2 linked regions of the Stegostoma tigrinum genome follow. The protein of the gene in region 1 purifies or fractionates together with the protein of each later gene. This does not show direct contact. Links are inferred from orthologs where the notes say so. Each region holds a gene or a part of one and is shown on either strand. Other genes may lie near its edges. The genes, in order: lysine-specific demethylase 5B-like and pax9.

The links.
Region 2: the proteins of lysine-specific demethylase 5B-like (region 1) and pax9 purify together in Homo sapiens (affinity purification with western blotting, with the first as the bait; 3 studies listed by BioGRID). This does not show direct contact. The link is inferred for Stegostoma tigrinum from reciprocal best matches to the Homo sapiens genes KDM5B and PAX9.

Annotation. Positions count from the first base shown.
Region 1 is NC_081374.1:48,015,033-48,031,616, forward strand, and holds the start of lysine-specific demethylase 5B-like, read left to right. Parts: upstream 1-9,478; 5' UTR 9,479-9,943; coding exon 9,944-10,090; intron 10,091-10,723; coding exon 10,724-10,801; intron 10,802-11,321; coding exon 11,322-11,444; intron 11,445-16,584. UniProt on the Homo sapiens protein: Histone demethylase that demethylates 'Lys-4' of histone H3, thereby playing a central role in histone code. Does not demethylate histone H3 'Lys-9' or H3 'Lys-27'. Demethylates trimethylated, dimethylated and monomethylated H3 'Lys-4'.
Region 2 is NC_081363.1:57,049,082-57,065,763, forward strand, and holds the start of pax9 (paired box protein Pax-9), read left to right. Parts: upstream 1-9,828; 5' UTR 9,829-9,969; coding exon 9,970-10,060; exon of another isoform or gene 10,061-10,191; coding exon of another isoform or gene 10,192-10,195; intron 10,196-11,233; coding exon 11,234-11,866; intron 11,867-13,667; coding exon 13,668-13,816; intron 13,817-15,844; exon of another isoform or gene 15,845-16,269; coding exon 16,270-16,492; coding exon of another isoform or gene 16,493-16,524; exon of another isoform or gene 16,525-16,682. UniProt on the Homo sapiens protein: Transcription factor required for normal development of thymus, parathyroid glands, ultimobranchial bodies, teeth, skeletal elements of skull and larynx as well as distal limbs.

The sequences.
Region 1 (16,584 bases):
GACCATTGAGACTGTACCAACTCCTTAACTTACTAACCCCATTTTCCAGCACTTGGCCTTGAACACCTTGGCACCACAAGTATACATCTAAACACTTCTTAAATGTTATGAGGGTTTCTGCCCTCTGCCATGCTAACAAGAACTGAGTTCCAGCACCCTCTAAATGAAGAAGGTTTTCCTCATATCCTCTTTAAACCTCACACCACTTTTCTTAAATTTATGCCCCCAGTCATTGATCTCTCCACCAACGGAGACAGTTCTGTCCCATCTATCCTGTCTACTTGATGTGTTTTACATGGACTTTAGCAAGGTTTTTTTAAGAGTTTCTCACCACACACCAGCCATGTAAGTAAGAGTCTATGAGGTCTAAGGCAAAAAAAATTGTATCAGAAACTGGCTGAGTGGCAAGAAGCAGACGTTGATAGTAAAAGGATGTTTCAGTGACCAAGTTTGTTTCTGATGGTGTTCCACAGGGCTTGGTCCTGGCACTCTTGTTGTCTGTGGTGTAGATTATTGATTTAGACTTAAATGTAAGGGGTGTCGTCAAGATGTTCATGGGGGACATGAAAATGATAGGCTGATAACTAGTGAGGAGGATAGCCATAATCTGCACATGGATATCATTGGACAAGTCAGGTAGGCAGAGCAATGGTAAGTGGAATTCAAGCCAGAGAAATCTGAGGTTACGCACTTAGGGGGTGCTAACAAATTATATTGGGATCCTAGAAAGGACTGAGGATCAGAGAGGCCATGGTGTGCATTTCCACAGATCCTTGAAAGTGGCAGGGCAGGTAGATAAGCGGGTTAAGAAGACAAATGGGATACTTGCCTTTATGGGCCACAGCATAGGATACAACAGCAAGGAGATTGTGCTAGGATAGAAAAAAACACTAGTTAGGTCACAATTGTAGTACTAGGTGCAGTTCTGGCCACTGCACTACAGGAAGGATGTAACTGCGCTAGAGATGGTACAGAGAAGATATAGCAGGCAGCTGCCTGGGCTGAAGAGTCTGAGGTCTGAAGAAGGATTGGATAGGCTAGGGTTGTTTTCCTTGGGGCAGCAAAGGTTGAGAGGGACCTGATAGAGGTGGATAAGATTATGAGGAGAATGGATAGGGTGGATAGGAAGGTACTTTTTCCATTAGTAGATGGTTGAACAACAGGGAACATAGAGTTAAGATAAGAGGTAGAAGGCGAAGAAGAGGGTTGAGGACAATGATTTCCCCTTGGAATGTGCTTTAACCCTGGAACTCACTGCCTGAAAGTTGGTTGATCAGAAACTCTTAATCAGTATTTAGATATGCACTTGCATTACCACTCCGTTCAAGGCTCTGGGTCAAAAGCTGGAAAACAGGATTAACATAGTTAGAGATAATGGGAACTGCAGAGGCTGGAGAATCCAAGATAACAAAGTGTGGGGCTGGATGAACACAGCAGGCCAAGCAGCATCTTAGGAGCACAAAAGCTGACGTTTTGGGCCTAGACCCTTCATCAGAAAAAAAGTTAACTAACATAGTTAGATCTTTGTTGACTGGTGTAGTTACAATGGTGTGAATGGCCTCCTACTGTGTCATAAACATCATTCTATAAGAAAGTCACCATCACACTGAACTGCTTCACTAGTACTTCTTTCAAGGGATCCATAGGTGACAAGTCTTGAATATCACAGACTGATAATCACAATCAGGAAGGTCCCAAATGCCCTATTTAGAAAGGTGTGAGTTTGATGGTTGAACTTGTTAGATTCACAACACACACACAGAAGTCATAACTGTGGGATTTGTTGCTATCTCAGGGCTTCCATAGGTACAAAGGGCAATTGACTGTACATGTGGTGCTAAGAGCTCCCTAGGGTTAGCAAAAAGCATTTATATTCAAATTGGGGTTTTACTCTCTAACTCTACAACTGGGCTGTGATCACCAGAAACAAATCCTTCAAGTGTGTGTACATGACCCAGAGAGCTCTCCCAATTTGTACACCCTGACTAACCTGCAGGTATCACAGGAGTTTGCGACCTTCAATAATTGTTGGATTTGATCCTTATTTTACAGGGGATATCCACAAAAGACCCAACTCATGAAACTGGTGCAAATGTGCCAGTGTATTAGTTCAAAACACTTGTTACTGTATGCCATTTGTTAGACCTCAGCTGGAATACTGTGTACAGCTCTGGATGCTATATTATGGAAATGCATTGAAGGCACCTTAGAAGCAATTTGCAAGAAAAATTCCAGGGTTGAGAAACTTAAATTATGAGGATAGTTTGGAGAACTTAGGATTGCTTATCTTGGAAAAAGAAGGATAAGAGGGTATTTGGTAAAAGATTTTAAAATCTTGAGGTGGCTTGATAGATAGGGAGAAACTGTTCCCATTTGGAAAAGGGTCAAGTATGACAAGGTATAAATTTAAAGTGATTTGCAAAGGAAGCAAACGTGAAGTGAGAAAATCCTTCTCGTGAGCGTTTCAGGTCTGGAACCTGAATGGGAGTATGGTATAGGCAGGTTCAACTGAGGCATTCAAGAGGACATTGGATGATTATTTTAAAAGAAATAATGTGTACAGATATGGGAAAAAGGCAAGAAAATTGCATTAATTCAAAATCCTCAGTCAGACAGCTGGTGCAGGAATGCTGGGATAAATAATTTTTCACAGATCACAGATGCCCTACAGTGTAGAAACAGATCCTTCAGCCCAACAAGTCCACACTGACTCTCAGCATCCCACCCTGACCCACCCCACCACACATCACTGAACACTAAACCACCTAGCCTGCACAACTTTGTGACTGTGGGAGGAAACCAGAGCACTAGGAGCAGTCCGACGCAGGCACGGGGAGAATGTGCAAACTCCACACAGACAGTCACCTGTGGGTGGAATCAAACCAAGGTTCCTGGCGCTGTGAGGCTGCAGTCCTAACCACCAAGCCACTGTGCCACCTGTTTTCTTCTGTAACGTAACACTTCTCTGATCCAGTGAATACTGGCCAAGACTCAAAAACAGCAAGGAATTAGCAGATACTTGTCTCGGTAAATATGAATTTCTGCTGTTTGTGCCACTCAGGTAGGGTGTTTCAGTTCTTGCCAAACATGTACAATCCCGCTTGGGAACTGGGAGAGGAATTTTTTGAAGAGGAGGTGGATGGATCAGATGTTTCTGCAAATCAGAACAAAGGAAAAGGTGATGATTCTGATGAGGGAGCAGATAGTGCATTTGCCAAGGCAATTATCTGACATAGCTGAAGAGCTTTTGACATGTTACTGCCATCAAAATCCAAGCAGAATGAAGCATCACAAGATCTCTACATAATGATGGGTTATCAAGCTGGTTGAGAGTCCAGAGTTCTATAGTGAGTAAGGGTATTTTTGTTTAATTGCATTATACTTGCGTTTGTCACTGCATTAAAGTTGATGTTTTCAGATTATAGGTTGAGGTATGTTTACAATGCATATGTGTAAGTGCATGAAGTGTGATAAATAAGATTTGATGAGGTGCAGGTGCAACTAACCACTAGGGAACATGATGTTGTGGTGATAATAGAGCTGCAAACACGACTGAGTATTGATAATGGGAGTCTTCAGTTATCCTATTATAGGCTGGGATAGTCTGCGATAGGGTTAGGGTTAGGGTTAAAGTGAAGAAGTTCTCAAGTATGTTGATAAGAATGTTTTAAAATTTCTGTATTCGTCGAATGGGGTGTCACTGGCAAGGCCAGCATTTTTGCCCATTCCCGAATGCCTTTGAACTGAGAGACCTTCTAGTTAGTCATCACATTTCTGTGTTTCTGGAGTTGCTTGTCTGCCAGAAGAGGTAAGGAGAGCAGATTTTTCCCCCCTAAAGGGCATTAGTGAACCAGACATAGTAGGAACTGCAGATGCTAGAGAATCTGAGCTAACAAGGTGTAGAGCTGGATAAACACAATAGGCCAAGCAGCATCATAGGAGCAGGAAAGCTGACGTTTTGGGCCTAGACCCTTCTTCAGAATTTCTGAAGAAGGGTCTCGGCCCAAAACGTCAGCTTTCCTGCTCCTATGATGCTGCTTGGCCTGCTGTTTTTATCCAGCTCTACACCTTGATATCTCATTAGTGAACCAGATGGATTTTTGAAACATTTTATGCCAGGTTTATGGTCACTATTACTTGAACTAGCTTTCAAATTTGAGTGTCCAACCTTTGCCAAGACAGCTTTAGCAAACACAATTTCGGTGCAATTAAATATTTACATGATCTTTGTGCATATGCCAAATACCCAAATACCTCTTACCATTACTGGTGTTCCTAGGCACTAACCTGAGCAGGAGCTTTCTGTCTCTGCACCTCAAGGCAAATCTTTTAGGATGATCGTGGTCCTTCAATAGTGGCAAATAAATTCTGAAGCCAATCAGTACTGAGTACAAATCTTGAGATGCTGCATAAACTCTTCTATTCAAGAAGGGACAGAGGCAGAAAACAGGAAACTATGGGCCAGCCATGTGGAAGTCCATCTTCAATGCACAGTAACAAAATGCACTGCAGCAACTCCTCAAGCTCCTTTGCCATCAGCTTTCAAACCCACAACCTCTAATACCTAGAAGGGGTGATAAATGATTGGAACACCACCGCCTGCAAGTTCGTCTCCAAGCCACACACCATCTTATCTTGGAAGTATATCACCATTCTTTCACTGTCACAGGGTCAAAATCCTGGAGCTTCCTCAAAGCACCGTGGGAGGACCTACACAACACAGAGTGTAGCACTTCAAAATTTCAGTTCATTAACACCAGGGCAATTAAGAATTGGTAATAAATTCTGGTCTAGGCAGTGATGGTCAAAAGTCCCGAATGCAAAAAAAGACCATAAGCGAGGGTAAGATAACAAAGTGTGAAGCTGGATGAACACAGCAGGCCAAGCAGCATCTCAGGAGCACAAAAGCTGACGTTTCGGGCCTAGACCCTTCATCAGAGAGGGGGATGGGGAGAGGGTTCTGGAATAAATAGGGAGAGAGGGGGTGGTGGACCGACGATGGAGAGAAAAGAAGATAGGTGGAGAAGAGAGTATAGGTGGGGAGGTAGGGAGGGGATAGGTCAGTCCAGGGAAGACGGACAGGTCAAGGAGGCGGGATGAGGTTAGTAGGTAGGAAATGGAAGTGCGGCTTGAGGTGGGAGGAAGGGATGGGTGAGAGGAAGAGCAGGTTAGGGAAGTGGAGACAGGCTGGGCTGGTTTTGGGATGCAGTAGGCGGAGGAGACGAGCTGGGCTGGTTTTGTGATGCAGTGGGAGGAGGGGACGAACTGGGCTGGTTTTGGGATGCAGTGGGGGGAGGGGATGTTCTGAAGATGTGAAATGTCCTAAGGCAATATTTGGAAAAACAAATTCTCCTGATGTCCTAGTTAATACTCCTCTCCTAACCAACAGCACAAAAATAACTAGTCCATCTTGGCATTCTTTCTGAGAGCTTGCTTGGTGTAATTTAATGTTGTGTTGCTTGCATTAGAATAGTGACTACAGTTATCAACTAGCTGCAAAACACATTGGGGTTTCCTGAGGAGGTGAAAATACACTATATAAAACTAATTCACTAACTGTTTGCTTCATTCACTTGAGACAATTTATTACCAATTTACTTTAAAATCATTTTATAACCTATCCACGCAGTCAATGTTGTAGGCTTCTATGAGTTTGGGTGTAATAGGAGCAGAAGTGAGCCTGGAACATCACAAAACATAAAAGAGGTTGCTCACAGGATTTTCCACTTCTAATCACTTTGAATGTTTTTGTTACTTGATTACTACATTGTAAGCAACGCTCACTTTTTTTTTCCTGTGAATTAATTCAATCTCTTCAGAGGTAAATTATTTTAGACATCCTCTTGTAGCTGCTTTTGACTGTGTCGTCATATTTTTCAATAAGGTCACTTTGTCATTTCAGTTTAACAAGGCCTGGCCAGCATTCATGAATGCATCTACAACTATTACAGCTTTCAATCTTTTGTCTCTGTTAGTACAGGAAATCAGATGTTTTGTTTTGAAACCTTTAAACTGGTGTCAAACCTGCTTCATTTCTGTTAAAACTGTTGTGCATTCTTTGATCATTTCTGATATTGTTTGGTATGGTGTTATGGTCTTCTCTAGTGGACATTTTAATTAACTATTAATTATGCTATTTTATGTTAACCCTCAGTTTTGACACAATAAGCATCATGTGGGCTTTGCACCTATTATTTTGACAAACTTCTTAGTCTATGCCATGACATATGTGAAGGTACTGACGAGAAAACCAGTAGTGTTGTTGTGAAGTAATTACACAGGTTGAACTTTCAATGTGACATTGCCTATTTCCAAGACTTTTCTGGGGGAGGAAATTATAACAGTAGGCTATTTGACAACTTTCATGAAAGTTATACTAAGAGAGTCAGTGGATAAGTTGAAGGTATAAATAAAAGCAGGATCTTGTAAAGATTGGTGCTTAAAATGATTACTCAACATTTAGAAGAAAAGGAGGAAAGCATTATATTGAAGAGCGACCATTTAGAATTAGCTAAGACTAAGTTAGAAATGACAAACAAATTAAATGAAACAGAAAAGAAGAAAAATGGAAATCAGAGATCTTGAAATGGAAAGTGAGGAGAAAGTAAAACAAAGAAAGATTGGGAAGATAGGATAAAGAAAATGAAAGAGAAAATAAATTAAAAAGCCTAATGCTCAAAGGAGAGAGAATTCAGACAATATGAAGACAGAAATATTGTAAAGGAATGAGGGAAGTAAGAAGAGGTAATAGCTTAAAGGATGTTTCTGGTTCAAATGAGGGTTACTTGATTTAACTAAATATTCATATTTAGTGCCTAAATTTACAGAGGTTGGAGAAGAAAGATGTTTCATCTCATTTGAAAAGGTGGCTATGAAGGTGAAGTAGGCAAAACAGTTTGGGCCTTAACTTTATAGTGTATTTTTACTGACAGCTATAAGCGTGTACATGGGTTTGCCAGAATAACCATCTGAAATGGTTAAAAAAGTAATATTATTCATTGTATTTCCCTGATGTTCCTCAATTAGATATTTACAGAATTTGTAAAGTAAGATGCAATGTCATGGAATCAATGGTTTTGATCACTGAAGTTAGAGAAAAGTTTTGAAAACTGCGAAGGGAAGTATGATTGTAGAAGAATTCCAAAATAGTATCTCTCAGTTATAAATTGGGGAATAGTCACATGGGATCCACAAAGAAATTGGAGAAATAGAAAAACTGAGGATGAAAAAAACAGCAGTTTTAGGGAACAAACAGAAGTATGCCAAAATAATAAAGGTGAACACAAGAGGCATAAAAGTAAAATAATATGATTTAATTTTAATAAGACTGGACATACTAAATTAATTGCTGGAAGTTAATCTTACCGCCATTATGTGTAATATTTATGTTCTTTTGTCAAAAGTATATTCATAGCCTCACGTGAATACATTTGGTGACCTAGCCCCACAGTAACCAAATTATAAAATTATACTTAGAGTCAATCAAGCATCACACTGGGATCTAACTTGACCAGTATTATCAAAGATAGGAACATAACACTATGATAGGCCTTGAAGAATTTATTGCTATGATATGATTGACAGAAATGCTGGTTTAAATGCAAAATAAGATCAAAATATGTACAAGCAGATGTAGGCCATTCATTCTATTCAGTCTGCTCCACCATTCAATGAGATCATGGTTGATCTGATAACCCTCATCTCCACTTTCCTGCCTTTCCCCATATCCCTTGATTGTCGGACTGATTAAAAATCTGTTTATCTCAGCCTTGAATATTGTTAATGACCCAATCCCAACAGCCCTCAGTGGCAAAAAAAATCCACAGATTCATTACTCTCCAAGACAAGAAATGTCTTCTCATCTCTATCTCAAATGTGAGACCCCATTTTCTGAGATTATGCTCCGTGGTCCTAGACCCTTCACCAAGGTGAAAGAACTTTTCCATATCTACCGGGTCAAGTTCCCTAAGAATTTTATATGTTGGAGTACAGGCCCAAGCTGCTCAATATCACCCTGTAAGAAAATCACTTCATACCCAGTAAGCTAGCTTTCTGTGGTCTTTCTTTATTTAAATAATATTCACTCCTCTACTCTTCCTGCAAAAGGGCATGACCTGACATTTCACCACATTATATTCTATTTACTAAGTTTTTACCCACTCACTTAAGCTGTCTATATTCTTCTACAGACTCACTGTGCCATCTTTACAACTTGCCTTACCACCTATTTGTGTCATCTGCAAAACTGGTGATAGTACATTCACCTTCCTCAATTAAATCTTTAACATATATTATAAATAACTGTGGATCTAACATTGATCCCTGTCACACAACACTAGGTACAAGTTGCCGGTCTGAAAATGCATCCTTATCCTGACTCTTTGTTATCGATTAGTTAGCCTACTCTCAATCAATGCCAAAACACTTCTTCCAAAACCAAGAGATCTTATGTTATTAAGTACCCTAAGGTGTGGTATCTTACCAAATACCTTCAAAAGTTCCTAATAAATCACATCTGCTGTTTCCCCTTTATCTTTCCTGTTCGTTACCTCCTCAAAGAATTCTAGCAAATTTGTCAGGCATGATTTCTCCTTCATTAAGCAATGCTGACTCTGCATGCTCATTGTAAATGCACCCTTTATAATACTGTAATATTTACCCAACAACAGACCCATCTTTGTTTTCTTCCCTTTTTTGAAAGAACTGGCAATTTTTCCATCCTCTGGACTTTGCAACCATCTCAGGATTCCTGAAAGATTACTACCCCTTAATCCACTATCTCTGTTGCTCCTTCCTCTAGTACCCTAGGGTACATCCTATAAGGCCCAAGGCACTGAAATCAAAAATTGGAGAAAGCAGAAAAAAGGTCTCTGGTCCAGCGACCCTTCTTCAGAGGGGATCTACCAGCTTTTAAGACCCGTTAGTTTCCCTACCAGTAGTTTCCTCTAGTGTTATTGCATTTTTTTTCCCAGTCATTTTTTCCTCACTGAATATTTAGTAACTTTAGAATTCTAAGAGTGTCTTCTACGCTGAAGACTTATGCAAAGCATTCATTTAACTCCTCTGTGATTATGTGGTTCCCCATCATGATTTCTCCAGCCTTGTTCTTCTATGTTCACTTTGAATCTCCTCTTCCTTGAGAGGTGTGGGGGAGGGAAGAGTTGCAAGGGTGGAGATGATGGGGAGAGGTGTGGTGTTGGGGAAGTCAGAGATGGAGGGGGGGGTTGGAAACGAGGTGTGGGATGTGAGAGGCATGGGGTATGGGAGGACTGGGGTGCTGTAGGGGTGGGGGTGGGCCAAGGCTGCTGACACTCGCGCTCCTCGCTGGGTCCCTGCTTGTATCCTCCCTTTACTGCCCAGCCAGGGCCCCTGGTCGTCAGTAGCCAATCACCGCCGAGGAGAATGGCTTTTAAACAAAGAGTGCCGGAATCAGCCGTCGCCTCACGATTGAGGTGTTGTATCAATGCGCTCGATATAAACAGACGGTCACTGGGTTGCTCCGGTTCGATTTCAGACCCTCAGTGTGTTGTGGTGTCGATGCTGGGCGGGCAGAGCTCGTTTCGCAGCGGTTGTGCGCTGTGCGTTGGGGCGCACCGGCGGTGTGTTCGCGCGAACTGGTTGCTGCGCGGAAGGAGCTAGCCGAGTGTGAGGCGGTGTTGCGCCGTTTCAGAGCGAGACGGAGCAACGGAAAAAAAAGGGCTGGTGATCGGCTCGAGGCCTGGCGGGGGGGGGGGCCGCGACACCGAATACCGCGTGAGGGCCGGGGCGCCGCGACACCGAGCTCGGTACGGGGCCGAGGCGCCGCGACGGTGAGTGCAGCGCGAGGCCGGGGCGCCGCGACACTGAGTACAGCGCGAGGCCGGGGCGCCGCGACACGGAACCGCCAGTAACCGTCGCCCGAGGCCGGGCCGCTATCGCACTGAGTTCCCCGGCAGGCAACACCATGAACCCGGCGGTGGAGTTCATCCCCCCGCCCGAGTGCCCGGTCTTCGAACCCACTCCGGAGGAGTTCGCCGACCCCTTCAGTTTCATCAGCAAGATCCGGCCCATCGCCGAGAAAACTGGCATCTGCAAAGTCCGTCCGCCACAGGTGAGGCTCCTCTCGCAGGACGGGCTCTCTCCCCGGGATGCACGCAGGGAGGGAGTTGGCGGAGTCCCGGCCATCAGCACCTGTACAAACTTCCGAGGTGGCAGTAAAGTTTTCAATATGGCGGATCCAGCAGGGACTTCCTTTGTGTGCGAAGAGGGAGGGGAAAAGGAAGGTGTGGAGGTGGTGTAGGTAGGCGGCGAGGTAGGTAGGAGGGGGGTTGGGAGGGAAGGGGAGAGGTGGGACAGTACGGTGGGGGAGAGAAAGAGGGATGGGGGGGTGGGAAGTAAAGAGGGGTGGAATAGCAGCAGAAGGGGGGGGGAAGAGAAAGAGGGATAGGAAGGAAAGGGGAGAGGTGGGATAACAACGGGGGTGGGGAAGGAGCGGTGGGAGAGCAGCAGAATGGTAGCTGGGAGGAGGGAGAGGTTTGGAGGATGAGGTTGCTGGCAGAGGGGATTGAAAGGTGGGAGCTTTGAAGGGAGAGGTGGGATTTGAAGAGGCTGGGGGTAGGTTAGTTGAAGTGGGGTGGGGGCAGAGGAGCAGGCAGGACATGGTATGGGTGAAAGGGTGGGGAAAAGGTAGGTAGGCAGAAGGTAAAATTGAGGTCGAAGATCAGAGCCTCCTCTTTTGTTGCAGAACTGGCAGCCGCCCTTCGCTTGTGATGTTGATAAACTGCACTTCACTCCACGAATTCAGAGACTGAATGAACTTGAGGTATGTTGTCATTTTAGTCTGTGAATTAGGGTATTATACCTATTTGCACTGATTGCATTGTGTGACAGGTTTTTCTGCAAAATTTGTTCTGCATTGAGATTTTTGTATATCATTTTTCAAATTGTTCCCTGATCCCTACTCCTGTACCTGAATTCTGGCCCCAGCCCAATATTTCTGTAAACGTGCAAGTTTCCTAGTCACATATACTCTTGCAGTAATTTGGATTGTGCTGTATGCAAGTTGTCTGTTCTACAATGTAAGGCAGTTGTTCACAAGGCTTTGAAGCATTTTATGCCATCCTTAAAAAAAAAATGGGTGCTGTATAAATCTTCACTTTTGTGTATGCATATTCTCTTTGCCTTATATACCTTGTATACAAATGGTATACATCTTTGTTACAAATGTAACAAAGTGTATATATTGTGTTGTATGATTGGAAGTCTATGCATTGCCCAATAGGAATTTTAAAAACAATGTGCAATCTGTATAGCAAAAGAATTACTTTCTGATCTGTTCACAGGCTCAGACCAGAGTAAAACTCAATTTTCTTGACCAGATAGCAAAATTCTGGGAGCTACAGGGCTCAACATTAAAAATTCCACATGTGGAAAGGAAGATCTTGGATTTGTTTTTACTCAACAAGGTAAGATTTATATTATGTCTCTGGCATTGAGTTGAAGTACATGTCTCAAGAATGTACACCTGCCTCTATCTCTGACATCATGTCTTCACTCTGCCCAGCAAACTCCATTAGATCTGTGTCTTATTTGTCCACTTGTATGCTATCCGTCATGTTCTTGCCTATTCAGCCTATCTAAATTTTTTTTTTGCATCATAGCATCAATCATACTTGCAACACTTTTTTTGCAATTAACATTGTCATCCGCAAACTGGGCAATATAACATGATCCTCATTCAACTCATTGTAGGTTCTAAACAGCTGTATACAAATGCTGCTGCTAAAGTAGAATATTATGGTTACTGTTCTCTCTAAAGGTTCTTTCACATTAAGATTATTATCGTGGTCTTGTCCTTGTTTATTGCACAATACTAATTATAAAACAGTTGGTTTCTTTGGTTCCTCAACATGCTGCTCTTGGAAAACCATCTCCTGCACATTCAAGGAATTTGTTCTGCAAAGACATTAACTTTTCTCCCCTCACCCCAATTGGCATTAATCTAATGACTATTTTTACCATTTTCAGTGTTTGTTTCTGGCTTTTCTTTCAGCCCATGGCTGTAAAATCTTACTTTGTCGATTGATTAATACGTCAAGAGGAATTTGAAAGTTCTATACATAGCAATACAACTTGACTGTAGTGAATAGAAAAGTAAGTGATGCAGATCTGTAGTGAGAAGGCTGTGATGACATTGATGGTCAGGGTAAAGATTTGAATTGCTGCAATCTCCACTACCAGAAGGAGTACCACGGGAAGACACCCTCTTTTCAGGAACAAAAGCAGAAATTAGTGGAAAAGCTCAGCAAAAAGCCCGACAGCATCTGTGAAGAGAGAAAATCAGTGAACATTTTGGGTCTGGTGACCCTTCCTCAGTACTGATGGTAGCTAGGGACCTGTCTATTTGTATACAGAAGATTGGGTGGGGGGTGGTGGGTTAGGGAGTAAACGATAGGATAAAGACTGGAGTGAAGGGAGAGAGAAGAGCAGTTGATAGACAAGGTAGTTGATAAAGATCTGGCTAGGAGGGTGAATGGCTACTCATGGGGATGGTTAGTGACTAGCAATAGGTAACCTGCCATTACACACTGATCAAAAAGGCCTTGTGTGTAGGCTCGGGGGTTAGGACCAGGGAGATTTGAGGTCCTAAAATTTTTGAACTTGATATTGAATCCAAAAGGTTGCAGGCTCCCCCCAGTGGAAAATGAGATGTTTGTCCAGTTTGCACTGAGGTTTGCTGCAGTGCTCCAGCAAACCTGAGTCAGATGTTGGCCAGGGAACAGGCTAGTGTTAGTGGTTGCCCCCTCCTATAACCAAAAGAAAAGTCAGAGGATCACAAGCAAGGGAAAATGAGTGACCTTGTTCTGCAGCAGGTGACTACAAGGGAGGTACGTGATTGGTGAGTAGGTAAGGTGTCTCTGCCTTCAGCTCCTGGAAGCTTGAGTTTCAGAGCTGGAGGAGGGGACAGTGTGGAGCATTTGTGAGGCAGAGTATCACAGATAGTATGTGTAGAGAGATGACCATGCCACTGGCTCAGATTTTGCAGGCCGGAAGGAAACTGGTGACTACCAGCCAGATGGGCAGGTAGTGCAGGAATCTCCTGTGACCATTCCCCTGCAAAACGGGTATACTGTTTTGGATACTGCTGAAGGGAATGACCTCTCCAGCATTGGCAGCCAAACTTGTTGGCCCACTCTTGTTCTGCTGCAGAGGGGAGGGGTTAACAAGTCAATAGTCATAGGGGACTCAATTGTAAGGGGAATAAATAGGCATTTCTGTGGTGGCAAATGAGACTCCAGGCTGGTACGTTGCCTCCCTGGTGCTAGGGCCAAGGATGTTTCCAAGCAGGCACAGAACCTTCTGGAGGGGAAGGGTGAATAGACAGTGGTTGTGGTACACATCAGTACAAATGACAGGCTGTTTTTAAAAAAAAGTCCTAAAAGCAGAATGCAGGGAGCTTGGAAGAAAATTTAAGAAATCTGGTAATCTCAGGAATACTACCTGTGCCTTGTGATAGTCAGTAGAAACAACAGAATATATGTTGGACAAACACGTGGCTGAACAGATGGTCTTGAGGGGGGTGGGGGGGTTTGGATTCCTGGGAAGGTAGGACCAGTTCTGGGGGAGGTGTGACCTGTACAAATTGAATGGGTTACACCTGGGTGCCAACCAGGACTCCTAGGATAGTGTTCGCTAGAGCGGTTGGGGAGGGTTTAAACTAATATACTAAGGGGATGGGATCCCATATAAGGAGTCACAGGAAGGCAGCAAGGAATGAAATAAAAGGTTGCAAAGTGATAGGCAGAAAAACCAAAGACAAAATCCAAATGGATTTCTTGAGAAAAGAGCTCAACAAACAGCATTTAAAAAGGCAGGCTTGAAGGGTTTCTGCCTTAATGTATGGAGCATCTGCAATAAAGTGGATGAGCTAATTGTGCAGATAGATGTAAATGGATATGATATAATTGGGATTACAAAGACATGGCTGCAGGGTGACCAGGCCTGGGAACTGAATGCTTCAGGGTATTCCGTATTTAGGAAGGGTAGGCAAAAAGGAAAAGGTGGTGGAGCAACATTGCTGGTTAAAGAGCAAATTAACGCAGTAGTGAGAAAGGAAACTAGCTCTGACAATGTGGAGTCTGTATGGATAGAGTTGAGAAATACCAAAGCGACAAAAACATGAGTGGGTGTCATGTCTAGACACCCAAACTGCAGTTTGGATGTTGAGAATGGCATAAAACAGGAAATTAGAGATGCATGTGATAAGGGAATATTGGCGTTCATGGATGACTTTAATCTGCCCATAGATTGGGCAAATCAAATTAGCAACAATGCTGTAGAGAAGGAATTGCTGGACTGAATATGGGGTGGTTTTCTTGACCAACATGTGGAGGAACCAACTAGAGAATGAGAGGGAATCACTGTCGCTCTAGTTGTGAGATCCTTTTGGGGATGAGCGACCATAACATGATGAAATTCTGTCAAGGTAGAGAGTGAGTTGTTAATTTGGAGACTAGGGTGCTGAATCTTAATAAATGAAGCTATGACTGTGTGAGTTGGTGGAGTTGGCCTTGCTAGATTGGGGAGAGTTACTTAAAGGGATGATAGTGGATAGGCAACGGCAAACATTCGAGGAATACATGGGGGAACCACAACTTTTTATTCCAGTCTGTTGCAAAAACAAAATGGGTAAGAGGGCCAATCTGCAGCTTATAAAGGAAATAAAAGGGTATCCGATCCAAGGAAGAAGCATACGGATTAGCAAAGAAAGTAATAAATCTAAAGATTGGGAGCAGTTCAGAATTCAGCAAAGAGGGTTGAAGGAATTGATTTAAGAAGGGGAAAATAAGACTGAAAGTAAGCTTGAAGGGAAAATGAAGATTGGTGCTAAGAGCTTCTGTAGATACGTGAAGAGCAAGAGATTGGTAAAGACAAATGTAGTTCCCCTACAGACAGAAACAGTGGAGAATGTGTAATGAGTGACAAAGAAATAGCTGAGCAACTGAATTCATGCTTTGGAGAATGAAGTGTTTAGTGAGAAGGAATAATTGAAGGAGTTCAATATTAGTAGAGAAATGGTGCTGTGAAAGTTGATGGGTTTGAAGGCAGATAAATCCTCCGGGCCTAATAATCTACATCCCAGATTACTGTCATTCCCCTACAGACAAACAGGGGGAATGCATAATAGGGGACAAAGAAATGGTTGAGGAACTGAATTCCTGCTTTGGTCCTGCCTTTTTGTAAAGAGGGCACAAATCAGATAGCTGAATTATTGGAGGATGCAGGATTTCGTGAGAGGGAAGAACTGAGGGAGATCAGTAGTAGAGAAACGGTGCTGGGAAAACTGTTGGGATTGAAGGCCAATAAATCCCTGGGGCCTGATAACTACTCTGGGATGTAGATTAAGGAAGTGGCTGTAGAAATAGTGGATGCAATTCTGGTCATCCTCCAGGACCCTGTAGACTGAAACAGTCCTTGCAGATTAGAGTGGCTGCTGTCACTCCAATATTCAAAAAGGGAGGTAGAGGGAAAACAGGGAATTATAGACCAGTGAGCCTAGTATTGGTAGTAGGGAAAACTCTCAAATTCATTATCGAAGATTTTATAGCAGAGCATTTAGAAAGCAGTGGCAGGATCAGACAGTCAGCATGGATTTATGAAGGGAAATCATGCTTGACAAATCTGCTGGAGTTCAATGAACATGTAACTGGTAGAGTTGATGAGGGGAAGCCAGTCAATGTATATTTGGACTTTCAGAAGGTGTTTGATAAAGTCCTGCATAAGAGATTAATGTGCATAATTAAAGCGTATGGGATTAGGGGATGTGTATTGAGATAAATAGGAAACTAGGTTGGCAGAGAGGAAACACTCTGAATTAATGGGTCCTTTTGAAATTGGCAGACATTAACTAGTGGGATGTCACAGGTGCTGGGGTCCCAGCTGTTTGCAATATATATTAGTGATTTGGATGAGTGAATAAAGTGTAATCTCTCCATGTTTGCATGAGATACCAAGTTGGATGGAAGTGTGAACTGTGACAAGGATGCAGAGATCCGTAAGCATGATCTGGACAGGTTGGGCGAGTGGGCAAATCAATGGCAGATGCAGTATAATTTGGATAAATGTAAGGTTATCTGCTTTGGAAGCAAAAACAAGGAAGCTGAGTACTATCTGGCTTTAAATTTGGAAAGGGGTGTGTATGGTCGAACCTGGATGTCCTTGTGCACCAGTCTCCGAAGGCAAGTGTACAGGTGCAGCAGGCAAAGAAGGCAAATGGTATGTTGGCCTTCAGAGGTTGAGTACTGTAGCAGGGATGTGTTGCAGTTGTACAGGGCCTTGGTAAAACCACATCTGGAATATTGTGTGCAATTTTGGTATCCATTTCTGAGGAAGGATGCTCTTGCTTTCGAGGGAAACTTTCATGGACTCCCAAGCTGATTCCGGGGATGGTGCAACTGACGTATGAGGAGAGATTTGACTTGGTGAGGATTGATTTTGCTGGAGTTCAGATGAATGGGGGGGGACATCTCTCAGACTTGAAATTTTCACAGGACTATATAGAGTAGATGCAGGGAGGATGTTTCTGATAGTGTGTGCATGCCCAGG
Region 2 (16,682 bases), on another chromosome or scaffold:
CAAGACGTGGATTTTTTGAAGAAATATTTATGTTCGACGAAACGAACATATGGAAGGACTTAAAATGTGTTTGAAATGCTTTGCAGTGGGCGATAAATGTCTACGTTGGTTTTACCGCCGATTTCAAATCAAAAACACCAGGCAAAACATGGCGAATTCATCAGCTTTCAAAAATATTTTTCATATTTTATCAATATGTGGCTTTCTAAAATAAGTAGAATGAGGGCAGAACTCCTTGCATATGTTTATTAGTATTACCTTTTATTTTCAAATGTCAAGTTTGAACGTTTAAATAGGCGTGTATCATGTTATGTATTTTGTAAGCAGAAAGTTGCATCGATGCTGCACCGCATCTACGTGAGAGTTAGTCACCGAGAAACTCTACACATAAACACGGGTCTTAGTTCGAACTTCTTCAAAAATCAATATCTTTAATTCAAAAATCAAGATCAAATTCATCTTTGCATGAACTTCAAATACATCTTTCAGAAAATTGTATTGTCATCTTCCAATAATTTGTTCGCATTTGTTACGTTCTGAATAAATTCAAAGATAGTGTCAATACGGTTAGCAACTCGGATTCCATTCAGATCCGTATTTATACTGCAATAAGAAAATGCTGCGACCAAGCGCGACAAAGTAACCATCGTCATCATGTTTAGCCTGATATATTTCGAACGAATATTCGACAACTGCTTGTTTCAGGCTTGTTTCTCATTTTCAGTTAATCATGTTAATTTGTAACAGGTAAATCGAAAGAGTTTGCTCAATTATTTTAAATGTTGTTAATCTGATTTTACTTTAAGAAAAAAAAACTATTGAGCAACATCATATACAATTGGATCTGGAAAAACTTTGCTTTACTAGGCTGGAATGAATGCAATGGATTTCTAGGGGCTTCAAAATAGAACCGCAGTCTCATCACGTGGTATCTATATTTTAATTCACATAATCCTTTTTGCAGAACATGCCAGTTGATGGCTCTTACTAACTTTAACTTCATCGTTTTCATTATTATTATCGAAGAGAATATTTGAACAAATTTATCCGCGGTCAATAAATGAGTTGAACTTTCACACAAAGAATAATTATCAATGACAGCTGCTTATGTGATGGACAGTTGTCACAATTTTCCTCAGAGTGAAATTTACCGCTTTACGTTATCTTTATTCTTCTTCATTCTTTAATTCAACAATGTATACTTTCAAGAGTGAGTTCCAATCATGGATGCCACTTATTGCCTTGTACTCAAGCAGTATTCATACAATTCCTATCCTTGTAACTATTAGCAAGACTGTTATCATACTGTGATGTTATAATTTGCAAGGTACTATGCTGAATGTTGTACATCATTGATTAGACTGCCGGATCATTTTAGTCAGAGGACGTCAAAAATTATTACGATGTATGCTGATAATCTGAAATCGTTGTTTGTTAACGCCTACCTGCCAGCTGTAATCAGGAGGTGGCGCCAGATCCCAACAGGGTTTCTTTCAACTGAAACGCCGGGTTGGAAACAAGCCAACTCTGCGGTTTTGGAAGAAAATTGACGGTAGAGACGATTTTCAATGAAAGAATGGCACAGTTTATATTCAAAAATCGCATGTTCAGTGCAGATACAGCAAAAAAAAAAACCCGAAAAGACAAGCATTAATGATAGCAGCAGTTTGCCAAAATTGTGTTTTAGTCGCAATTAGGAAAATAATTGCAACGTTATGTTAATTTTGAAATGATTTAAATACAGGTCATATTCGCAAGTTTTATAAAAGGTAAAATGTTTATACAATGTAATTTCAAGACCACATATTGCGGTGTAATAGCAGGTGTGGTGCTTGGCTTGCTGTGCAGCAGAATGCTGGCATATTCTGAAAACGCTGCTGGAAATTAATTCTTACCAAGTCCGTCACTCCTGCAATTTACCTTATAGTTAGTGTCATGCATCCGACTAAAGAAATGAATAATCAGACTAGAAAAAAATAGTAATGCAAATATTTAAGGAGGCGTATTAAAGGTAGTCCTTTAGCATCGGAGCATCATTCAGCAAATTCTGGCCTGTGAATATTTTGCGGAATTGCAATTTATTCAGGAAATTCTTCGTTGCGGCACTTAAATGACGCAGAATAATCTCCATTGAGCATTCCAGAAACAAACTGTTATGTAATATAAGGATAATTTTGAATAAAACGGTTTGGGTGTTGAGTGGTGACCCGAATCCATGTTGTACAATATCAATTTAACTTAATTCAGCAGCTCGCAAGTATTATCTGCACAATTGAATGTGTGCTGATAACGAAGTAGGCTCTGAGTTCCCTATTAGTAAGGACAGTAATTGCGTGATTGCTTAGAATGACAAGTTGCTTTATCTTGCTTATCCTAACTTTGTAATTCCATTAATTCACAGCACGAACTTGTTCATATATAAATTTAAACGTCCAAATTATACAAGTGGATGACAGCTATCTCGTACCCTTCGCAGAACATTTTTCCGTTTTGGTTGCCTTTAAAAGAATATAACAAAAAATGCATTTGTTCTAAATTACAAGTTGTCTTTCATTTCACTATCACGAAACTTAATTTACTCCTTATGAACTACTATTCCGCAAACTTTCAGCTGCATAAACATTCCGATATTTATATACAGCATTGGAATTAATATGTTTTTGTTCTTGTTTTATATCTTCATGAATTCTTTCTCTAGAATATAATGTCCATGTGTATTTATATTATTCCCGCTTACATTGTTTTATATCGCTAATATTCAACAAAAATTATGCACATATGTTAAACATTCTAAATATATTCGTTTTACGCACATTTTTTTCTTTCCTAGTATGAAACTGTTTTCAATATTGTAAATACAGTTGTTATTTTTGGAAGGAGCCCCGGGGAAATTCGGTTTTACCTATGTAAAGCTAAATGCAAAATATATGGAACAACGATCTTATTCACAAATTTCACGGAACTTGTTTCAGTCATTTATTTCCTGTCGTTGTAAAAAAAGAACTGCCTTTTTTTTAGAAAAGGTTTGAAAATTTCAGAAAACTGCAGGAAGGCATTTGCTAAAAATTAATATTCATTAGCTAGAAGGAAAGAGATAGAACATCCAAGATGCCAATACTGAAAGATACAAATCAAACTAATGAGTTCAGTGTGATCTATTGCGCATGAAATTGCACATGCTTCCAAAATCAAAATAAGACTAGTTTTTGACCGTTGATGCTTTTTACACCCTTCCAATGACTAAACATAATGAGAACTGAAGTGTTAAATTTGCGTGACATTTTTATTTACTATTCCATGAGTTACACTTTAATGGGAGGCATTTGAGATTCTAAACTTTTGCCGTTGGTCAGTAATTTACCTGTGAAAAACGGAATGACAAACATACAACATACACATGACTGAATACAAATATTACATCTAGGTACCTTGCTCTTTCGCCCGATTTAAAATAGCGGTGACCATAGCTGCTTTACTTGGCAAGCATGCTTTTTTTTGTCATTGTCTGTAATACGGGATGATTTCGGACAGGTTTCATAAAATTTTCCCAGCGCTCATCAGCATGACACGAAATGGTTTGCTTCAGAAAGTGTTGTCAGATAGGACTCCTGGCCTACTCATGGCAGTGACGTTAAATTTGAAACTAGCGAAATGGACTCTGAGGACATTTTCCACCCACTTATGACCAACCAGATACCACGCTAGCCATTACACCTTATAAGCACCGACACAGCGGTTTGTGCAGCAGAAATAGGAGTACGTTCGAATCCTATTCATATTTCATCGCACAGTTCGTATATTTAGAACACTAATTTTATAGAGTCACAGAGTCATTAAGCGTGGAAACAGACCTTCACTCCACCCAGTCCACTCCTACCATGATCCAAAACTAAACTAGTCTACCTACCTGCGTTTAGCCCATATCTGTTCAACCCTTTCCAATTCATGAACTTATCCAAATGTCTTTTAAACATTGTAGCTGTACCTGAATCCACCACTTACCTTCACAGTTCATTTCCACACATGCTGTGTAAAAATGTTGCCTCTCTTATCCTTTTCAAATCTTTCTCTTTTCATCCTAAAATATGTCCCCTAGTTTTGAATTCACCCATCCTAGGGAAAAAAACCCCGTCATTTGCCTTATCTACATCCGTGATTCTGTAAACCTTATACAGTCTCTCTTCATCCTCCTAAGCTCCAGTGAAAGAAGTGTCAGCCTATCCAGCCTATTTTCATAAGCAAACCTTCCATGTCTGGCAACATCTTGGTAAATATTTTCTGAACTCTTTCCAGTTTAAAGACATCCTTCCTACAACAGTGTGACCAGAACTGCACACAGTTCTCCAGAAGAGGCCTGACCAACAGTCCCAACTCCTTCACTCAAAGGAATGAGCAATGAAAGCAAGCATGCTAAATGCCATCTTAAACACCCTTTCTAACCATAAAGCAAATTTCAAAGAATTTTATACTTGAACCCTTAGGTCTCTCTGTTCTACAACACTACCTGTTTAAGTCCTGACCTTGTTTGTGTTACCAAAATGCAATACCTCACATTTATCCAAATTAAACCCTGTCTGCCACTCTTCAACCCATTGACTCAATTGATCACGGTTTCCTTTGGTATCATTTGCAAACTAACTAGCACTGCCTACTATATTCTCATCCAAATCATTTATATAAATAGCAAACAAAAGTGGACACAATAATAATCCTTGTGAACACTACTGGTCACAGGCCTCCAGTCCAAAAATAATCCTCCATCACTATCCTCTGTGTATCTAATTTGCAAGCTCACCCTGAATCCCAAGTGATCTAGGTTTATTAATTAGTCTACCACGCAGACCCTTGTCAACTGCTTAACAGAAGTCCAACTAAACAATGTCTACTGCTCTGCCCCATCAATCTTTGTTATTTTTCTTAAAAAAACTCAAGTTTTTGGGACACAACATTCCTTGAACAAATTTGTGTTAACTATCCCTAAATAATCGTTGCCTCTGCACATGCATGTAAATCTTATCTTTCAGAGTCACCTCCAAAAACTTACCCACCACTAATGCCAGACTCACAGATCTACAGTTTTCAGGCTTCTCCTTATTGCCTTCCTTAAACAATGGCATAACATTAACCACCCTCCAGTCCTCTGGTACTACACCTATGTTGATAGATGATACAAAGCCCTGCAATTTCGTCTTTAAATTCCCACAACGTCCTAGGATACACTTGATCAGGTAACCAAGAATATAATTTAGAAAATCTAATGTTTATTGATATATGCTTTATTAATTTATCAGTAGAATGTTTGTAACACCTACACTGTTGTTTTGGATACGAAACAAATTGTGTATATTCTTTGGAATTTACACCACAGGCATCGATTATTCAATTGGTCAAATCCTTTTGGACGTGCTGTTTCACCCATCAGCTGGGAACAGACTTTCTGAAATAATAATGATATTCAGAATACAGCATGCTCGAAACAATTTTTTTTGAATTTGTAATTCGAGCAACATCCTGATGCTTCACTTCTAAGGTTATTACTTTACGAGACAGGCATAGGTTCTGCAGCATGGTTTTAGAAAGGTGTCCAGCAGGAAAGTGATTTCAGTTGTTCTTCTCATAATTTCAATGCCGACTATAAAGCTGAAAATGGTTTTGTTACCGCGAACGATCAAAGGAGGGAGAGTAGAGAAAATATTGTGCATGTTTAATTCATAACCGTCTCTAATACTAGTTCTAATACCTCCTTTGATTGTTTAAATATCCATCCAGATCACATGAAGAAGCATTACGTTTTGCAGCATGATTCTTTAGTTTATAACTAAACAGACAATTTGGAGCACTATGTCCGGCGTCTTCTTAGTTTCGTGCATCATAACATTTTGCTTACCGATTACAGTAGCATTATTTAACATGACTTGCGAACTCGTAAGTTTCAATGGAACTACAGCTAGTTTTGAGGTGATATAGAATTTGTAGGACCTAATTAAAGTTGAGATTTTTAAAACTCGAATTTGAAAAAAAATATCATGCATATGTTCTGAAATAACATTTGTCGCATTAGTAACGAAATCCATTAGACTGAAAGCACGGCTGTGATAATTTTTATCCGATAGGATCAACTTCCCGTTGAAGCTACGTGGGCGGTGTAATGTTTTTAAATTGAGTGTTACCTGATAGGTCAGACCGTAAACTATATCTAATGGATCCGAGCCTATCTCGAACATTGCATTCAGTTTTGGGCAATTAACCTCAGTAAATATATATATATTAATTACGGGAAGAGCAAAGTGCATGTCCACGAGAAGCATACCAAGACTAGGAGAACCATATTATGAAAACGGGCTCTATAAAATATCTTTCCTTCATTTTAGGCCATAAAGGGGCAATCCAGTCGAAGTGTTCAAATGATAAGGAAAGCCCATAGAGGTGATTTAAATAAAAAACAAAGAGCTGGGCCTTTCTGGCATGAGACCAGGAAACATTTATTCACACATGAGGGGCAGTGTGGAATTCACTCCCCGAAATGTTAGTTTCAATACTGAGAGAGAAAGATTTTTATTGGTAATGGTTTCAAGGGCTATCGAGCAAAAGCCGATAAATCAAGTTGAAATACAAATGAGCCACGATCCATTTAAGTACTGGAAAAGGCGCAAGAGACTGCGTTGTCCATCGATGTTTTAAACCCACGTTCCCCCGTTTGTTGCATTGTAACGCGGTTTGTTCATATGTCCAAATATACTATGACGCATTCTAAATAGAATTAACCTTTGACGCAACTGCAAGCTTAGATAACGGTGATAACATATTATTCAGACAAAACTTAATTTACTTTTAGGAAGCACCACATATTTGGATCAATTAAATTTTGTATAACTCGAGTGTCATAGTTGGTTGCTTTAGAAATAAGATTTGAGCTTTATGTTAAACGGTGACTTGAATAATAGTTAATCCTTGATTAATTCACTTTACACTTGTTGAATAGTCTATTTTAGAAATCTAGCGACACCCTGTTGTACGTGAAAAGCAGATACAGTAGATTTCACCAGAGGGAGACAGCGAGAAATCATATTTAGCTTCGTTTTATCAATCTTCACACCTATTTCTTGAACGCTAGCGTGTTGTGTAAAGATCTCCACGGTCAATGACAACTTGCAAACATTTTTCGGATTTATTAATATCAATTATCTTTTGAAATTCGTCATCCAAAAACGATTTCAGATTTTGTTTTGTTTGCGGCCCAGTGATGCGTTCACTAATCTGGCTGCGACAGTTTTGTTTCTTAACACGATTTTGTAAACCGTGGTAGTTCGTTTCACTTTACATCCAGTTTAAATGTCAAGTTGCCTATTCGAAAACCCCCGTCCTTTTTATAGTCATCTTTTCAATTCTTTTGAGAAAATACTCAAAAAAACTTCAAGGGAGACATTGTCTGAGACACTGCGCTTCAATGAAATTTGCTGTAAATATTTATTCCTATTATTTCCAATTATTTCAAATAGGTGTTTGAAGTTCAATAAGTATTTTATTGGCTTACCTATTGGATTGTGGATGAAGGACATGTTTTTATCCCGAAAGAATCTGGAAAGTTTGAATGCCGCATTGTAAAGGGAAATTTAAAGTTAACATAAAGCGTAAATTAAAGAGTGGAAACACCAGATATTCTCCCAAAGCTACATTTAAAAAAAAGAAGAAACCTGGTGCGAACTGTTACCATTAAATAATGGAGAAAATTGTTTTAAAGTTATAATGAATGCACTCTGCGGTATTTAGTCCAGCAACGTGCATGCTTGGACATTCAAATACAATTTTCACATTTGGAAATCAGCAGCGTATTTCTAAATGTATTGAAAAACCATTCTGGCCTTCAAAACGTACTGTTCCGAAATGAAGCAGCCAAATTCAAAATGATTTAATGCTTGCTTGCAGAAACAATTGAGGATTCATCCCGTTTGTGTTCCTTTGCCCTTTAACGGGCCAGTGTGCATCTGACCTTTGTCATTTAAGACCACACTCAGCACCTCTATGGAAACAAGTTAAGCACGTTCAACCCGGGTAAACATTTATGCTTTCTCACTAGAGAGCAGCCTTGTCGACAAGGATTCTTCCTTCTGTCCGAAGTTCCAGCCTCACACGCGGCCCACAGATAGAAGGAGAGGAGAACAGAGGTCCCACAGTTAGTTCCGAAGGAAAACAGGATACAGACTCAGAAAGACAACGGGGCAAAGACAGGAACATGTTCAAAAACAATTACAGAAAATCAGCAAATTGAGAAAAGAAACGTAAACCGATAGAAAGAAGCGAAGATCGGCCGTCTTATCGAATTACAACATGCCCAACACCCATCAAAAACAAATAAGAGGAAAGAATTGTCACCTGAGAACTTAAACTGGGAGACTTTGCAAAGAATACAAAAGCAAAATACAAGGGAAACTGGAAGTCTGAAGTCAACAGGTCTGACAAAAGATCATTTTCTTGAAACCTTCCTTCTACATCTTTACTTTCTTCGTGCGCTGCCGGTTTTATTGAATATTGCCAACATTGCTGCTTTTATCAGCAGAGTTTACTCGGTTGAACTGTCAATCACTATAAGAAAATTCTTAAATTTTTTTTCGTACAGGCTATAATTTTAGAAAAGTTTAAAACGCCTTCACCTCAAAGCCATTAAATAGTTCAACGCTATCCTTAAAGATCATTAAATGAGTTATGTTTAAGTAATAGAATTTTATTGACACCAGAACCTACCTGGCATCTTCAACATAACATTATCAAATGAACTAATCTAACAAAAATACTTGTGCATAATTAAAATGACGTATTTGACTGTTACTTGCAAATAAACATTAAGAACTTTGTAGGTATGCTTCACCTTCAATAACACAGAATCCATTTCAAACCTGATTTTCTGCCGGGTTTGGAACATACCGCAAAATATAAACGGTGGGGTAAACTATTACGACAAAGATAAATAGATACCCCCAGAAAATTAGTCATGAATTTCTTTCTTTTAAAAAAATATAGGTCGCAGTAATAAAACAGCATAAATTCGGGATTGACGTTCCACTTGGCAATTAAACAAAGGTAAAGATTAGTATTTTCATGAAAGGAAGTGATTCTCGCTAGTCAGTATCGCGCAAAGGTGGACTACATAAGCAAATCTTGCGCTGAAATTGAAATGATGGACATTTCGTTTGCAAAGACTGCTTGGTGTTAAGTCATTTATCAGCTCTATATTACGTCATATTTTGATTCAAACCGTAGCATGATACAATACATTCTAATAACTAATCAACTAATGCAAGAATATTTTCACTATGCAATCAATAATGAATTATGAATTTATCTTATTTTTACAAACATCGTTAAATAAGCTTCCAGCGGCTAACAGCAAATTAAAATGGGAAGCTACATGTAATTATTTACTCTAACAAATATTTAGTACTCTTGTTACAGTGAAAAAAAATAAAGAACAACCATTTTAATTATTAATTTGCCGTGAAAAATGTTGGTCGACTTTTTTATGAGACATGGCATTCACCAGTAACTAAAATAAAATGTGGGCTGAAACTTACTTTGGAATAACACGAACTTACATGATCATTGATTTTAAGATGCATTTTTAAAATAAATAATCTATACACTTATAATGTTGCTCTGCGAGGGAAACAGAACTTACAATGGGAACTTACCGGTTGAATGAACAATTCCATTTAAAATAACAATATTAGTTTAGTACAATTTGCAATTTATTGAAATATTTAAGTAATATCTCCTTCACATTAACAGTCTACCAAAAGCTTCAAGACGGTGGTCAGCCCGAGAATAATTCGTATGAGCAACTTCCAGGTAGTATTGCCAGGTCACGTCCATCCACCAATGAGTCAATGGGATTTTTATCCTCCCGCCTCTTCCGTCATTGCCGAAGGTGTGTCCATGGTGATTGACAGACAGAGTGTGTAAAATCCATTTCCCATGCTGTGCTTTGAAATGCAGAACCGAGCCACCTCTCCCGAGGAAAAGGGAAGCATTTTTACTCTATACATGCTCTTCTATAACTCCGAAGGTGAGATCAGTTATTAAGCAGCACTTATAAGCGGATTCCAAAGCAATCTGTACTTCAGGGGATTTGAATTCTATTTGAAACGCTGACATATTCAGCAGGAAGCTTTGAGGATCACTTGAGTAATAACTATCATGGGTAAGTAGTCTCTATATTTTACATTGCTGTCAACAGATGCACAGTCGATCAATAAAGCTAGCATTAGCAAGCACTAACTTATGTTTCCACCATTCATATTAATTGAAAAAGTACGCTTTAAGATCGAGCTAGTCACGCCTAGTTAGATGACTACGTGTTGGGATGTTTATCTTGTATTTAGGGAAGTTAGACCGAGTTTTGCGGAAATGTTATTTTTGGACAATTTACATTTCATGGCCAACTATTGGAGAGTCGATGAGTTTGATGGAATTATTCAGATGTGTTTTGTCCTCTGGAAAACAAGGTACAATAATAGCCAAACGAGCCAATTAGCAAACACTGCAAACTGAAAGGAGAGCGGAGGGTAACTTTCAAACATAGTCGTTAAATATTCCCGGGGAGTTACCATTCCTCCTCTCAATATGACAGAAAAATACATTCTGAGCAGAAATGAAAGCTCGTAATTCAATTACATCCAGGTTTTGAATCCACGCTACGGTTTTTGTTTTATTTACATCTAAACATTGGAGAAATGAAAACTCAAGTCTAGGGATATGAAAATAGAATGACATTTCGAAAAACAATCTCATGGTCGTGTAAATATTTCTTTGTAAAGAAACGACAGAAAATGAAGATTTATCAAACAAACGTCCACAAAATCAATTCAGAGACAAACCTTTTGCCATTTAAGAGCTCTTTCGAATAAAAGCTCCGAGCGATTGAAAAAAAAATTCCCGCAACGCTCATGCAAAAGCTATCGAGTGCAGATGGCGATCTCAATTTCAACTGTTGTGCCTATTAGTGGTTGACTTCCACTCGGAAATGTCAGGAACTACGTTAGTACCGAATGTACGATTTTGAGTCGAATGCAAACTTTACACAGTGCAGGCCTACCCCACCGATACGGTCCATAAACGTAAAGAAGTAGAGCTTGTCAAAAGTTGGTTAACAGAACAAAAATAGATCCGCTGTCGGGTTAACGTGTTTCTGCAGTTAACTTTTTGTTTGAATGCGCCTTTTTGTTCTATTCCATACCAGAACCAGCGTTTGGAGAAGTAAACCAGTTAGGAGGTGTATTTGTCAATGGCAGACCACTGCCAAATGCCATTAGACTGCGGATAGTCGAACTGGCTCAACTGGGGATTCGACCCTGCGATATCAGTAGACAGCTCAGAGTTTCACACGGTTGTGTCAGTAAAATTCTGGCTCGGTACAACGAGACCGGTTCCATATTGCCCGGTGCGATCGGAGGCAGCAAACCCAGGGTGACGACCCCCACAGTGGTCAAACACATTCGAGCTTACAAGCAGAGGGATCCAGGGATTTTTGCGTGGGAGATCCGAGACAGACTCTTGGCTGATGGAGTCTGCGATAAATACAACGTCCCTTCAGTGAGCTCCATCAGCAGAATCCTACGCAACAAGATCGGAAACTTGTCGCAGCAGAGCAATTACGAATCGAGTAAAACTCCAGCGCACCCGTCTCCGCAATCGGCTCTCCAGTACAATGCGATTTATTCTTATTCGAGTCCCATAACAACGGCCGGAGGTAAAATGCCAGCGTCGCCCGGTGTACCCGCAATCCCAGGACACGTGGGAATTCACAGGACCTGGCCTTCATCACATTCTGTCTCTGACATCCTGGGGATTAGAGCAATCATCGAGCAGCAAGGTAAGCGGCAGCAATCCAGCTATCAGTCGTCCAGTGCCAAAGGCCCAGCTAAAAGAATTACAGCATTAAATATGTTGTTTGTACTTTACCGTTAAATTTAGTTGGCCCCATGGATAATACAGAAAAAAACCCTCTGTTTAGTGAAAATTCAGCTTTTACTGTTTCATATTTTAGACTTACCCGTACGTTTTCTGCCTTAAACCCACTAACCCACCTTTTCCTTCCATGTAATTAGAACCTAAGCACAAATTTGTAAATTTCAAGTCACCCTGTAACAGTTTATTAATTTCATTTCAGTAGCTGTTACAGTGACAGCCATCAAAACCAAGACTTCACATTTAATTTCAATTCAGTAGTTTCAGATGTACGCTTTTTATCGACATGTATTTAAACGCTTTCGTATGAGGAGACGAAGATCTGTGAACTCCATTCTACCCATTTACAGTGCTTCAATACATGTTAATTTCTAACGCATTCAGTTTTCGCAATCTAGTTAACAAAGCAAAGCCAGGCCGCTTCCCACTAGGAAATGTCCACTCCAGTTGTCAAACGACATAATTATTTCCTCTCTCAGCATCGGCTGATTATAATGGTCTCCTAGTTATACCTTGCGTTTATAGTAGTTGGTCACCGATTTTGTTGACGTTTTCGCGAAGGTTTGTGCAGTAGCATTCCTTCAGGCCACTGTTCAGAGATAGATTGCGCAGCTAATAAGTCATTAGTAAAATACTATTTTAGATTATTTTGCTGTTTCTGTGATACACGCAAGTATTTTTCGGATCAGTTCGTTGGAGTCCCCTCTCTGTTGCACCTCCTAAATCACAATATCATTTCCACATTTCCACGAAACATGTAACAAATCACTTGTTGGAAAGTTGCATCAAACAATGACATGGGTATCCGGGAATCGCCCAGGGGTTTATTTAAAACAGATTTAGTAGTTGTGTCGTTTTAACCCTACGATGTAAAGAGATGACAACTGCTTACATTTACGATAGTGCTACCTGGAAAATTATTATCGGCTTTAACCACCAACATCAGTTTTCCTTTTTGAAACCATCACAATAACACATCTTGTTCTGGACTAAGAGGAAATATATAATTAAAGCTCCAATTGCATTTCCTACATAATGTATCGCTTCAGGCTACAACTAAATACATGAACATAAAGTGCATTTAAAATGAATCCTGTACTTATGATTTTGGGGAAATTTTGGTAAAATAATTTAATGGCTTACTTTCACGGCAGAGAACCATGAAGAGAGACCTGATACAAGACCTACTTAAAACGATATCAGTAACCCTAAATATCTGTAGAAATAGTGAAAGCTCGTAGAGACATAGATTTGAAAACAGTGTTTACAGAAATTCACAATCAAATAAAGTATGTGAAAATTTTTACAACATAATTTCCAAGGACGTAGATTGAGTATATTTCAAAAATAATGTTTCGAAATGCACTGTTGGGGAAGTAACGCATATCAGAAATAATATTCAAACACTAATCGCGAAACAATTTGTGGAAATACATGATATACAACTGTTGCCTCTCTGATTTATTAATTTGTGCCATATTGGATATGATCCAGACTGCTGAGAAATGCACACTGAACTCGACTAAATCCGATAAGTTTAAGCAGTACAAATAAGCGGAATGGTATTCCAGTAAACTTCATCTGGCCGTCTGCACCAAATTAAAACAAAATGCCGGAATGATAAAGGGATGAAAAACGATGCGAATATGATGACTGCTGCAAGGATTCTGATTCAAGTTATGTGATATAAATATTTTTATTGTTAGGTGCTATTCCCATTAGTGACAGCTCTTCCTATCCAACTAAAGTGGAGGAATGGAACAGTATAAACAGGAGCCACTTCCAGTCCTCAAACCAGGCTGCAGTGAATGGACTGGACAAGTCCCCACTGGAGCAGGAAGTCAAATATACTCAGGTAATTGTAGTGTGCCTTTCCTCTCGACTGGACAGATTACAGCGTTTCCAGAACTCAGAACTACAAAAATAAATACGTTTGAACAATTATAACCTAGGTGTAATTAGTGCTTTAAATTCCAGTGACTTGTACACAGTGGGAACTTCTAATTAGTTTGTAACGTTATGTAATGTGTAGTAAACATTTTTTAATCAGAAGGAATTAAGGGGGAATATAAGGACGACATTTAGTTGGCGTTTTACATGGCATTAGATACGTCGCTGATAAATCGAAATAGTAACTAAGCCTGGCACAGATGGATGTGCCAAATCGCAGAACGAGAACAAAAACATATAATAAACATCTTGAAGGGGCGGGCGAAGAGGGGGGGGGGGGATCCGAACCATTTCTGTATATAATCAATAATTTTATTGCTAATTGTAGGATCATAGGACATTTTCACGATGCTGAAGAAATTAAGTAGCCGCTGTAACAAAGTAAATCAGCAATAAACTCTTTAAATATGGGAAAACTGAATTTATCATTTACACAAATTTACAATGAATATGTAGTCCGGTGTAATTGGTGTAAAACAAGAACTAGGCCTGGGAACGCAGAAGTGGATTTATACCAGATTCAATCACAAGCACAATTTGGTTTCCTCGTAATATTACTACTTTTTCTTAAAATATTAGAAAGTCTGCCATTTGATGAACTTAATCGTCCAATACAGAATGAAGATCGACTGATAAAGTACAGATTTATACACAGCTGTTTAAAAAGTTTGGGTAGGCGAGAAGGGGTGGAGAAACGTGGTGAAATGTCAAAGAAGGATTAACTGCTCAGACATGCAGGTATATTCATGACTATTAGCTTTATGTTACAAGTATTCGCAAGAAATTTGGCGTAAGCTCCTTTACGACTAGAAATGATTCTAGCCCACATCCTGATTGTTCAGTGCATTTCTTTTGCTCCACTGAAATAATCTAAATAATCTATCAACGTCATTGTCCAATTGATCCCATCCCGTCCCCAAGAAATACCGACAATTAAAAAAAAGGCAGAACAGAATCAAACAAAGACACTGGCACAACTGAGCAACAACAGAATGTATTTTATGGTGGAGGAAAGAACTATTGAAACGGTGTTCCGTCCCAATATTTTCATTAAAAATTAAAATTGAAAGAGCAGAAAGCTCGGCCCGCTCCTTTTACCAGCTCGTCTGATCGTGTCCAGCAAGTTTAGTAGTGTCTAATGATAGGCAAGATCATTGATATTTATACATTGAAACTGATCACATTGGACGTATCTGATATTAAAACGAAAGTGATCATGACGTATTTCAAAGATAACAAGGTGTAGAGCTGGATGAACACATCAGGCCAAGCACCATCAGAGGAGCAGGAAGGCTGACGTTTCGGGCCTAGACCCTTCTTCAGAAAATCATTTTTTTCTGAAGAAGGGTCTAGGCCCGAAACGTCAGCTTTCCTGCTCCTCTGATGCTGCTTGGCCTGATGTGTTCATCCAGCTCTACACCTTGTTACCTAAGATTCTCCAGCATCTGCAGTTCCTACTATCTCTTATGACTTATTTCAAATATGTGCCGGGGTGAAAACCTATATTTCAAATCGATGCGATATGGCAGGTTATGAAAAGTAAACATCATACTCTCTTTGGCTATCCACGCGGTTTGTATTATTCTGTCGTTGTATAATATTGGTGTCAATTGTATTTATGCAACAGCATATACAACGGGCGGCAAAACTCTGTTTGGCCCCGCATTTTTGTTCAAGGACACTGCATGAGGAAACATTGTGAGAACAGTCATCAGTGTGATCTGCGCCTGGTCTTAAGCTGACCTGCACTTGGCCATTATTTTCATTGATACAATAATATGTGTCAATTGTTATGATTCACCAAAAACCTCAAACATTAATTTCACTTCAAAACAGAATCCAACACATTCATGACTTTTAATTTGGGGATCTTGTGATGAATATTTTAAATACCAACACAATTTAATCTATTTCCTATTGTAGTTAGATTATTATTTCCCACATTTTATCAGTCACTTAATCTTCGAATATTCACATATATTTAACATTTTAAAATGTCACTCTTTATAAATCAATCGACATTGTGCATTGGTTTCACTTAAAATAGTACATCCGTTTTCGTATTGGTAGTATTATCTAATACTTCCAGATAACTATGAAGTGGATACTTCTATACTGTTAAGGAATACAGTAATACATAAAATAAATTGGCACTGTTGGTTCAGATTTGTCATTCATGCAAAATTTTACATCAACGTGGCTTAAGTTATAAACATACTTCATGTAATTTTTCATGACATAGTCTTGTTGTGCATTCTGTGGTACATTCTGCTAACATCAATAACATAATACAAAGTAATTATAGTTGGCTTATTTTCTCTTTATTAAGATAATTTAACTTTTTTTTTAATCTTCCAGGGTCCTAATGGTCTGCCTACAGTTAGCAGCTTTGTCTCTGTTCCAAGTATGGCTCCTTATCCTCCACCTGCACAAGTATCTCCCTATATGACATACAGTGCAGCTGCCTCCAGTTACATGGCAACCCACGGCTGGCAACATTCAGGTGGCAGCACACTACCAACTCATAGTTGTGACCTTCCCACACCACTGCCATTCAAAAGTATTCAAGCAACCAGAGAAGGTAGCCATTCCATTATAGCCTCCGCATTGTAGTAGTTAATTACAATACAAAGCAGTTTAATGCCAACATAGCATTAAAGAAAGTACTTTGATCCAGGCAGGGTGAGATGCACATTTTATGGAAATTCAAAAACTTTGACTTTTTTTAATTCAGATCACTTTGAATCTCCATGAAATACTAGCTCGATCTC